3 linked regions of the Oryctolagus cuniculus genome follow. The protein of the gene in region 2 interacts with the protein of the main gene of each other region in a pairwise test. Links are inferred from orthologs where the notes say so. Each region holds a gene or a part of one and is shown on either strand. Other genes may lie near its edges.

Region 1 (3,747 bases), on a different chromosome or scaffold from region 2:
TTTTCAAAGGGGGATTTACTAAAAGCTGACCCGGGTGCATACTGTCACTCTTGCGAAACCCCAGCACACAGGCCAACGAGAGCCTTCCAAGGCTATTATTAGCCTTCAGCGGCCTGCACCAGCTCCGGCCAGGGGCCCCGTCTCCATCGGCCTGGAACACGGGCGGCCGGCAAAGCCCAGCGCCCCACGGGAGTCCGGGAAAGCAAGCGCTCCTCTCGCTTTCTGATAAGGAACGAAGAGCCGGGTCTGACCAGCCGGAGCTTACTTAGGGGGCTGGGGCGTAGGGACAAGCGCTCCTGACCTGGTCCAGTCGGCCTTACCTTCGCGAACAAGCCAGGCCAGAAGGGCTCCACGTTGACGCCAGCTGCTTTAATGAGGGCGTTGATCTTGTCCTCCTGAAACCGACAGAGCGCCGGCTAGCGGGGCACCACCGGGGGCACAGCCACGCTCCCCGCTCCCCCCCGGACGCCCACTTCCAACCCGCGCCCGCCACCAGCGACGCGACGCGCCCCGAGCCCGGGCTCTGCCAGGGCTTCCCGGGTCACGCGGCCAGGCCGGGGGCGCCGAGCAGGGCTCCCGTGCCGCCCCCATGCCTCCCAGCGCGGGGGCCCGCCCGCCCGCGGCCCAGCACGGGGCCGGCCCGCCCGCCCGCCGCGCCGGAAGGGACGCCGGGACCGCGTGGACCGGCCGCCCCGCACTCACCGTGACGGTCACCTCGTCGTCGTGCAGGATGAGGGCGGAGTAGATGCAGGCGAGCTCGGAGACGGAGGCCATGGTGCGGGGCTGGTGGGGCTGGCGCTGCCGGGCGCGGTGCTAGTCGCCGGATGAAGTGAGGGCCTCACCCCAACGCGGCCTTAGCTTCCTCGGAAGAACCGAGCACCTTGGCGGCAGCTGAGGAAAGGGGGCTGTGCGCCTGCGCACAACTTCTTATACGGCCGCTCGAGCCAATCGGCGCCCGTGCAGGGCGGAAGGGGCGGGACGGAGGGGGGGTGACGTACGCGCCTGCGCTGTGCGCGGAGCTCGTTGTGGGAGTTTGTCCGCCGCTGCGAGATGCCGGCTCTCCGGACCTGGCCGAAGCGTGGGTCTGGCGAACCGGGACGGCGTTTAGGAAGAGGGAACATGCTCACTGGATCCAGGCGCGGCTGACTGCGCCCCGCACCGGTGTGAGAGCGTTTGAGCCGGGTCCCGGCCCTTCGGTGAATTAATACCCAGGGTATATATCGTGAAAATCTTACACCAGCGAACTAAGGAGCGACGTCTCCGAAAACTTTCAGTCAGAGAAACCACGCTGAAACCCAACAGCTGTTTCCCCAGAGCCTTGGAAAGTGGGAAACATAAAGGCTAACTTCCATATCCTAGTAAAGGGTGCCCATCAAAACCTTACTGGGGGCCGGCGCCGCGGCTCACTAGGCTAATCCTCCGCCTGCGGCGCCGGCACCCCGGGTTCTAGTCCTCCGCCTGCGGCGCCGGCACCCCCGGGTTCTAGTCCCGGTCGGGGCGCCGGATTCTGTCCCGGTTGCCCCTCTTCCAGGCCAGCTCTCTGCTGTGGCCCGGGAGTGCAGTGGAGGATGGCCCAGGTGCTTGGGCCCTGCACCCGCATGGGAGACCAGGAGAAGCACCTGGCTCCTGACTTCAGCTGGAACTGTGCTAAACCAAAGCCAGGAGCCGGGTGCTTCTTCCAGGTCTCCTCCACGAGTGCAGGGGCCCAGCATTTGGACCGTCTTCTACTGCCTTCTCAGGCCACAGCAGAGAGCTGGATGGAAAGTGGAGCAGCGCACATATGGGATGCCGGCACTGCAGGTGGCAGCTTTACCCACTATGCCACAGTGCCGGCCCCGTGACCATCATTTTTAAAATCTGAAAACTATGAAGAGGCCACCTTTGTGGTGGCATCCGCACCCCTGAGCCCTGGTTGAGTCCAGGCTCCTCCACTCCCCATCCAGCTCCTTGCGAAAGAAGCGAGATGGCCCAAGTATTTGCGCCCCTGGACCCACGCGGAGACCCTGCAGCTCCTGGCTCCTGGTTTTGGCTGCCTTTGCCCTTGCGGTTGTGGCCATTGGTGGAGTGAACCAGTGGATGGAAGATGTCACTCTGTAACTCTGCGTTTCAGATCAATGAATTTAAAAACCTTATGGACCATCAAAGGCAACCTTAGAAGAATGATGGGACGATCCTACAGTCGATAATTCTAATGATGTAACTTCAATCAAAATTCCATTAAGGTTTTCAATAGAATCTGACAAGCTGACCTTAAATTTTAAATGTAAGGATCAAAGGCCAGTAATAACCAGGACGATTTTTTAAAGCAGACAGACTTAATTAAAATCCAAGAACACAAACTTCACCACTGCAATCCCTGTGCCCAAAACATGGCACATAGAAGATGCGCAAGTATATATTAGATCAATGTTTCAAAGTGTTACTGGGATGCCTAGAGATGCATGGATCAGAATAGAATAGAAACCCAAAAAACGCACCTTCATGGGAACTTGGCAGTGTCAGAACTATAGTTTTACAAATCCAAAGTGGATTGGTTGGCAACAGGTGACAGAACAAGTACCTGAGAATCCTCTCTGCCTCTGAAATAAGTGAAAAATCCTGGAGTTTCTACTGAAATAGGAAGCATTCTAAAAATACATGTAATTTTCCTATTACACTTTGAGTGACACGTGGATTGTCTTTCTCCTTAGCCTTTGAAACTGCTTTTGGTCAGGACTAATATCATCCTTTCAATATTGATTTTAAAAATGCACAAACTATCATGTTAAAAAGTTCAGCCTTAAAAGAAATGCAAACTTAACAAGCAAACAGGCTCACTCAGGCAAGAATAGCTATTTCACCAGGATTTTCCACAGTGCTTTCTGTTTTGTGCCAAACTGTGTTTTCTGTTTAAATGTCTGGGAGAGCGCACTTATTCTGTAGGAATTATGGTTGTCAGACAAAAAAGGCATTTCCCATTTAACAGATTACTTCCCGTGGGCATTTTCCAGGGCTTTCTTCTCATTCAGTTCACAAGGAAGAGTGCCAGGTGAAAGCGAGACGCGTGCTTGCTGCGGCTAGTGTGTGTGTGAAATGAATGACCATCACACCTCTGTGGTTCTGAGTGCTTTTTATTTCAATTCTTTTGGCATATCTAAATGTCAGAAAGTGAGTATATATATACAAAATGCAAAACACCTTCTGAAAATGGTTTTATTATGGGCCAGTCCCGATATCTTTATTTTGAAAGTTTCAATTGTCAAATATGTCTAAAGTGCATTCTTGCAGCTAATCAATAGCAGCATTTGTTTCGTTTATAAAACCCAAGAAATACTCAGACCAGAGCTGGAGAAGTCACAATAAAAAACGAAGCGTGATCTAGATATTACCTTAATTATACCAAGACAAACAGCTGTGTGAATTAGTTTATAAGTCCATAAGAAATATACAAGAAACAGCATTATAAAAAGTCCATACAGCAATGAGCCCGGGGTCTTGCTCTGCTGGGAATATTAAATACGGTGAGGCACATAATATACAAGGTCTGCTGACTGCTGCGTGTCTTTGGAACCATCAGGGAAGCGCTGCTCTAGGCCAGTGTCTGACAGGGCTGAGGTCTGGGACGTCCAGCGAGGCCGCAGGAGGCTGCTCTCCGTGGCTTCGGAGCAGTCACCAGCAACAGTGACGACGCTCTGCCGCTACTGGGGCTGTCTTGTTCATGGCTTCTTGCGCCTAAAACCAAACCCAACATTTAGTGTGGAATTTGCA
Region 2 (3,647 bases):
CTAATTCTTTAGGTGAAAACTGGTACTTTGTTTTGTTTTCATTTCAACTTTTTTTTTTTTTAAGTTTTATTTTTTATTTATTTGAAAGGCAGAGTTAAAGGCACGAGGAGAGACACAGTACACGATCTTCCATCTGCTGGTTCATTCCCCAAATGGCCGCAATGGCCCTGGCTGAAGCCAGGAGCCTGGAACTTGGGCCATATTCCACTGCTTTCCCAGGTGCATTAGCAGGGAGCTGGATCTGAAGTAGAGTAGCCAGGACTCAAACCGGCACCCATATGCTTAATCTGCTACAACACAATGCCAGACTCTCAACTTACTATTTTAATGTAGCTCTATATAACTCTTTTATTATTATTTTTAAAAATTTATTTTATTTATTTGAAATACAAAGTTACAGGAAGAGGTAGTGACAGAAAGATCTTCCATCTGCTGGTTCACTCCCCAAATGGCTGGAACGGCTGGAGCCAAGCCAATCCAAAGTCAGGAGTTTCTTCTGGGTCTCCCACACAGGTGCAGGGGCCCAAGGACTTGGGCCACCCATACTCTGCTGCTTTCCCAGGCGCATCAGCAGAGAGCTGGATCAGAAGTGGAGCAGCCAGGACTTGAACTGGTGCCCACATGGGATGCCAGCACTGCAGGCCGGGGCTTTAACCTGCTGTACCACAAGACCACCCAAGACTCTTTTTTTAAAAAAATATTTATTTATTTATTTGAAAGGCAGAATGAGAGAGGGCGGAGAGACAGAGAGATTTCCCCTCCACTGCTTTACTCAAGTGGCTGCAACAGTGAGGGCTGGACAAGACTGAAGCCAAGAGCCAGGAACTCCATGTCTCCCACGTGGGTGAGAGGGTTCCAAGCACTTGGGCCATCCTCCACTGCTTTCCCAGGATACATTAGCATCAGGGAGCGGGATTAGAAGCAGAGCAGCTGGGACTCGAACTGCCACTCAAATATGGAATGCTGGCATCCTAAGCAGCAGCGTAACCTGTTGTACCACAATGCCTGCCCTGTGTTGTATGTTTAAGACCCCCCCCCCTTTTTTTTTTCTAGTAAGGGTAATTCCAGGAAGGCCATTTGGAAGGAAGCTCAAAGGCTTACTCTCCCACTGGATAGTAACAGAGCAACTGGTGCCTTAAAAATTAGTGCTATGAATGTGAGGTTCTTGCCAGACAGACTGACCTGAGGACAGGACCACACTGTATTCATTTCTGCCTCCTTTCCAGCCCTCAGCACTGGTTATCAAGGAGTTTATTTTCAGTATATCCATACTGAAAGCATTTATTTAAGCATACCGCATTATTATTAGGTATAAAGCCATTAGGAGAAGAAGAGCTATGAACCATCCATGTTAACAGCAGGAGGGGTATATGGCAGCAAAGTGCATACTAATAATAAAGGAAGGGTTTTGGTGAACAAATTTTATCTGCCTGCCAATCTTTCTTTCTTTTTTCTTTTTTTTTTTTTTTTTTGACAGGCAGAGTAGAGAGAGAGAGAGAGAGAGAGAGAGAGAGAGAGAGAGAAAGGTCTTCCTTTTCCGTTGGTTCACCCTCCAATGGCCGCTGCGGCCGGCGCACCGCGCTGATCTGAAAGCAGGAGCCAGGTGCTTTTCCTGGTCTCCCATGGGGTGCAGGGCCCAAGCACTTGGGCCATCCTCCACTGCACTCCCGGGCCACAGCAGAGAGCTGGCCTGGAAGAGGGGCAACCGGGACAGAATCCGCTGCCCCAACCGGGACTAGAACCCGGTGTGCCGGCGCCGCAAGGCGGAGGATTAGCCTAGTGAGCCGCGGCGCTGGCCTCTGCCTGCCAATTTCTAACAGCAATTATGCTGCTCTAGAACATACTTTGCTTCAGAGGCAAAAAATCAAAACATGAGTGAACCATACAGCACCTCAGCTGCTTGTTCAGGACAGACACACAGCAGTGGTCTGAGAGAAAATGGATCCTCAGGAGAAAGCTGGGTGTCCCTGCAGGGCAGGTACCAGGAATAAAACTGGAAACGACCCCTCCCACCTTACATCTACTGATCGCCTTTGAGGGCAGGGCTGCCATCCAAGAGTTTTCTGTATCAGTATGATTGAGTGCCGTGAGGAGTAAGGCCAGGGTCCTGCTTCACCTCCTGGCAGTGAGCGGGCCCTCCGTCCATGTCTGCCCAGGAGGTACCAAAGCAGAACCCTCTAGAGATGATCCACTGTGATAACAGAAACAATCACTCGACTTTTATGGGCCATGTTTCTATTTGTTGACAATGTACCCAACACAGCTTCCTTTCACACATTTCAAAATACTAGCTTCTCAAGTTCAAAATACATACACGCTTGCTTTACCACACACAGCCTTGTGTTATTTCTTCTGTTACCAGGCTCTTGGGGAAGGACCTAAAGTGAGGCAAGGGCTGGTGCTGGGACTCAGTGGGCCTCTCTGGTGACGACTTACCAATGTTCACGGAGTCCTCCCAGTCCTCCAGCACTTCTGTGACAATGAGCACATACACATACGTCCTGTGCTTCCTCTCCTGGTTCTGAAAGGACAGCGGAGATTACTTTCATGTAACACGGTCACCACACTGTCTAGAGCACAGGCACAGGACTCCTCTTCCTTTATCTTGCCCTACAATCACGGCCCATTTCTTCAGTTTCATTTCACCTGAAAGGCAGAGACAGAGCAGCAGCCAGAGAGAGCTCTTCCACTCGCTGAGTCACTCCCCCAACGCCTGCAACAGCAGGGGCTGGGGGCCAGGCTGAAGCCAGGAGTGCAGAATTCAGTCTAGGTCTTCTACTGTGTGGCAGGGACCAAAGGACTTTAGCCATTACCTGCTGCCTCCTAGGGCCACACGAGCAGGAAGCTGAACAGGAAGCTGAGCCGCTGAGCCGAGAATCAGGCACCGTGACATGGGATGCAGGCATCCTGAGCAGTGAGTGATTTAACAGCTGCACCAGATGCCTGCCTCTCGGCCAATTTGAATGAATTCAGGGTGTGTTCTCTGGCCCACTTCTGGAGCTGAAGTTTTATACTCATTCTCCCTTCTCCTTCCTCCAGCTGCAGGTTCACATGAACACTGTGACTTCTCAATGAGCAGCACGTCCGTTTAACCAGTGAGACAGTGGGTAGGGACGGCGTGGTGCCGCCATCGAGGCCGACAAGCCAAGTGTCTTGAACACTGCCCTCTTTCCAAACCACTCTGCTCATCTTTATCCCACAGTCTCCCACGCCTTCCACTTCATTTCAAATCCCCCTTCCTCTGCGACAGCTCCGTGTCTGCTAATTTTCCTCTTTTCTCGACACTTACCTATCTTTCCTCCCACCTTGGGAACAGAGATAGAAAAGTGGGAATGGGCTATATAGTAAAGCAAATTATTCCAGTTGTCTAGAGGAGAAGCCCGCAGGATTTGAAGAGAGAATGCTAGTTATCCTCTGATGGTGCTTCTGCATTTACACAGGTGACAGAGATGGCCTCTTCCCTCAATTAGGATATATGTGGTTATTATATTAACATACATTTATACCAAAAGGTGTAGAAGACTTACCTCAAAAATTCCAACTAGTCTTCCCAATGTCCCTTTTACTCCAGCCTGAAAAATGAAAGGGAAAAATTAACACACTGTTTCCCGCGGGCCTTAATGGCAGCCTTCTGGAGCAGTCTGTAA
Region 3 (3,647 bases), on a different chromosome or scaffold from region 2:
TGCTGCCTCCTAGGATCTGCATTACCTGGAGCCAGGTGTTTAATTTAAGTACTCCTATGTGGGATGTGAGCCTCTTAACTGGCATCTTAGCCTCTAGGCTAAATGCCTATCCCTGTAACCTCTATTTTGATTGGTATTTGGATGCATTTCTCTGGGATGTGGGGTGTGAGGTATGCCTTCCTCCTTGGGGCCAAATGGGGGTGTTCCTCCCTACTGCCTTACCCCTAATTTTCTCAGTGATATCATCTTTTGACACTGCAGGATTGTTGCTGAGAGGTCTTAGAGGTTTTTGAGCTGGTATTGAATGACAAGGTAGCAAAATATTGAAAGGTTATTTTAGCAGCCATCTGTATAGAGACAGACTAAAGTCATGGTTGGGGAAATATCTTGGAAACAGAAGGATGAGGTTGGGCCATTGTAATGATCTATGTACATTGTACTTAGTATCTAAAGTAGGATGATGTTGTGGTATGGATTCCTTTACAAGGTTTGGGGGAAGAGTCAATAGGATTTAGTTGTATCAGAGAAAGGCACAAGTGGTTAAAAATAACTTGAGTTTGAGCTGGGAGTGATGCCGCTGGCTGAGAGGAATTGGCCAAAAGCAGAGATGGTGGGAGAGGAAAGAGGACTGTAGTAGTTGAGATATCCAGAGAATAGCCAGTTTTAGATGTGGGGCTCAGTTTCAGGGTTAGAGGTAGAAATTGGGTAGCTACCAATAGTGAAGAAGAGATGAGAGGATAGGCCTGGGGCAGAATGTGCCAGGAAGAGAGGCAAGAGGACACCAAACTTTGATCCATGCTGCATTCAAGACACAAGAAGCCAAGCCAGGGAGAAGGTGGCAGCCTCAGTATGGCTAGAGGGCAACCCTTATGTTGGTGGGAAAGTCCAAGAGAGTTCATCCAGGAGGCAGGATTGGGATGCCAGCAGCATGTTGTCATCATGGGCTGGACACTCCCCAGATGCAGTGCAGGGGCAGCCAGGACTCTTCTGTGTCCATTCCTGGAGAGGGTCCCAAATCTGTTCTCACAACACAGCCCTTTTGTCCCTCTGCCATGTAGGCTGTGAAACATCCCACTTCTCAAGAGAAAGGACAAGACAGCTGTTCCTTGGTTCCCTAGGGCCACATGGGGTCATAAACTGCTCCTTCAGTTGGGATATATACATTGTTTCCCCTCATGTTCCCTGCAGCCAAATTCAGGCTGATTTAGAGCAGCTGCTGTTTCTGTCATGCTTACTATGTCCAGTCTATATATCCATGAGTGTTTTCCATCCTTTTCCATTTATTTTAAGGGAGTTCCGAATGTGTGAGACTTCTTATTGACGTTGGGGCCAACCTGGAAGCACACGATTGCCATTTTGGGACCCCTCTACATGTAGCCTGTGCACGAGAGCATCTGGACTGTGTCAAAGTGCTGCTCAATGCAGGTGCGTGGGTGTTTACCTGAGCTGGTATTTACCTATGTGGGTGAGAGCCAGCTGTCAGGATCAGACAGACCAGGATTTGAATGTAGGTCTCCACTTGCCAGCTGAGAGCTTGGGTCTCAATTTGTATGTCTATAAAACTGGAAAAATAAACTCATTTTGCAAGATTGTTGGAAGGATTTGTGATGATGTTTTCCCTGGCCCTTCTGTGTAGTTTGTGCTCAACAAATGTTAATGATTATTTCTGGGGGAATCAAACAACTGTCTGCTTGATAAGGCTGCTTTCTGAATCTGAGAGATGAGGAAATAATGGGAAAAGGAGTCTGCTGTGTTTAAGAGAATGGAGCTTTTGGAATTGAGGGTGTCCAAAAAAGGCTCAGGATAGAGAGATTGCCAAGATGGGGAAAAAAAACCAAAACATTCAGCCAACTGAAGGTTAGCGACAGGATCTGCCTACATCAGATTTAAGATGTTGCCAAAGAGAATATTGGCCAAGGGTTTTAATAGGAATCAAATTTAAAATGTTTGAGGGAAAATTGTAGCTCAGCCATTTCATCAGTGCTGACTGTTAACCTAGGATAAAAAACAAAATGTTCAGAAACAGAAAGATATGAGTTTCCCTCAGATGACAGCCATTTGAGTTTAAGTAATGTGGAGTTTTCTTTTGGAGGCTCTTACTTAAATGAGCCATTTTGGAGTCTTGCAGTGGAAAGATTAATTTTGTGTAAGGCTTGTTAAGGTTTCTAAACATTTTTATACCGTGATGAGATATCTTGATTAGAAACAGACATCAGTCTTCAGCCAAGCTCTCCTCTGGTGGCTGGATCCATTTGTGCCAATGTGGGGCAGTATTATTACTGTTGTGCTCCATTCACTCGGTACATGCAAATTCAATTTTTTCTTCAGTTTCTTTTTGTGTGACTGCAGGGAAAGAATCAACTTATTGTTTTAACACAACGTCCTTTCTGTATTGTTTAGGACCTTGTATCATTTGTGACTCCTTTGTAAGGAATATTACATCTATTGCACCTGAGTAAATAGTGTATTTACTGTTTAAGGATATTAATTGGTATTAAGGATATTTATTGGTTCATTTAACTTAAAAGATGAGAAGTAGAGACGGTTTAGGGTCAGCCTGACCTGCTTTTTCAACAGTGTCACCAAGTTCTCCCTTTCTTTGATTTTTGCAACTCTACTTTTCTCCATGATAGCTTTACCCAGGCCTGGCTTAGGAGGAATGGTCAGACTTCACTTTTTGAGGCTCTGATAATTTTTTTAAGATGTATTTATTTTGAAAGATGAAGTGATAGAGAAAGATCTTCCATCCACTGTTTCATTACTCAAATGGCCACAACTGCCAGAGCTGATCAAGGCTAAAGCTAGGAGCTTGGAACTCCATCCAGGTCTCCTGTGTGGGTGGCAGGGCCCAAGCACTTGGACCATCTTCCACTGCTTTCCCAGGCACAGTATCATGGAGCTGGATCAGAGGCAATGCAGCTGGGACTCAAATAGGCATTTCCATATGGGATGCCAAGTCACAGGCAACTGCTTAACCTGCTGTGTCACAATGCCAGCCCTCTTTGACAGACTGGAAAAATCTGTCCCAGATGTCTTGGGCACACCTCCCCTCATGTCCTGTTGGCCCGAGTTGGACCCTAATGTCCAAACCTAAACAGAGGCTTTGGCTTGAACTTTTGCCACATTCTGATTGGCTTACATGGGCCATGCCCCTAAGCAAAACAAGTGCATACAGGTGCTTTCACAGGTGAATCAGAGAGGGCCTGGGGACTTCGTCAGAAGCTGAGTTGTGTTGGGGACTTCGTCAGAAGCTAAGCTGTGTTGTGCTCCACAGGATGGACACAGAGGTGGTTGTTCTTTTTGTTTCCTTTGTAGGCACTGAGGCCAAATCAAGGAACTAGGTTATATTTGCAAAGGAGGAGGGCTAGGGAAGGTGAAAGTCCAGTTATTAAGGTGAAGTAATTTTTAATCTAATCACTAGTAGTAAATATTTAACTCTGCTGAAAATATTCAGAAGTAGTGCTGTCATTATGCTGCCTTTCTCTCAGCACAGTGCTTATCACAATTGTTTTACAGTTTATTGTTGCAAAAAGCATGTAGTGGGCTATCTGTGCTTATTCTGCTGGCTCCTGGCATACTAAAGAGTATCAGGGAATCCCTTCACCTTGCCAGCCATGATTTTGCTTTGAATCCACTTTTATCTCACG

What was found.
Region 1: the proteins of NUDT3 (region 2) and RPLP1 interact in a two-hybrid assay, tested with the Homo sapiens proteins (2 studies listed by BioGRID and IntAct). The link is inferred for Oryctolagus cuniculus from reciprocal best matches to the Homo sapiens genes NUDT3 and RPLP1.
Region 3: the proteins of NUDT3 (region 2) and ASB13 interact in a two-hybrid assay, tested with the Homo sapiens proteins (2 studies listed by BioGRID and IntAct). The link is inferred for Oryctolagus cuniculus from reciprocal best matches to the Homo sapiens genes NUDT3 and ASB13.

The regions. Positions count from the first base shown.
Region 1 is NC_091443.1:92,102,069-92,105,815, reverse strand, and holds the start of RPLP1 (large ribosomal subunit protein P1), read right to left. Parts: upstream 2,650-3,747; 5' UTR 775-2,649; coding exon 703-774; intron 396-702; coding exon 321-395; intron 1-320. Other genes in the region: kinesin-like protein KIF23, read right to left, coding at 3,696-3,711. UniProt on the Homo sapiens protein: Plays an important role in the elongation step of protein synthesis.
Region 2 is NC_091436.1:135,069,546-135,073,192, reverse strand, and holds part of NUDT3 (diphosphoinositol polyphosphate phosphohydrolase 1), read right to left. Parts: exon of another isoform or gene 3,573-3,647; coding exon 3,528-3,572; exon of another isoform or gene 2,522-3,527; coding exon 2,437-2,521; exon of another isoform or gene 1-2,436. UniProt on the Homo sapiens protein: Cleaves a beta-phosphate from the diphosphate groups in PP-InsP5 (diphosphoinositol pentakisphosphate) and [PP]2-InsP4 (bisdiphosphoinositol tetrakisphosphate), suggesting that it may play a role in signal transduction.
Region 3 is NC_091444.1:79,539,209-79,542,855, reverse strand, and holds part of ASB13 (ankyrin repeat and SOCS box protein 13), read left to right. Parts: intron 1-1,290; coding exon 1,291-1,425; intron 1,426-3,647. UniProt on the Homo sapiens protein: May be a substrate-recognition component of a SCF-like ECS (Elongin-Cullin-SOCS-box protein) E3 ubiquitin-protein ligase complex which mediates the ubiquitination and subsequent proteasomal degradation of target proteins.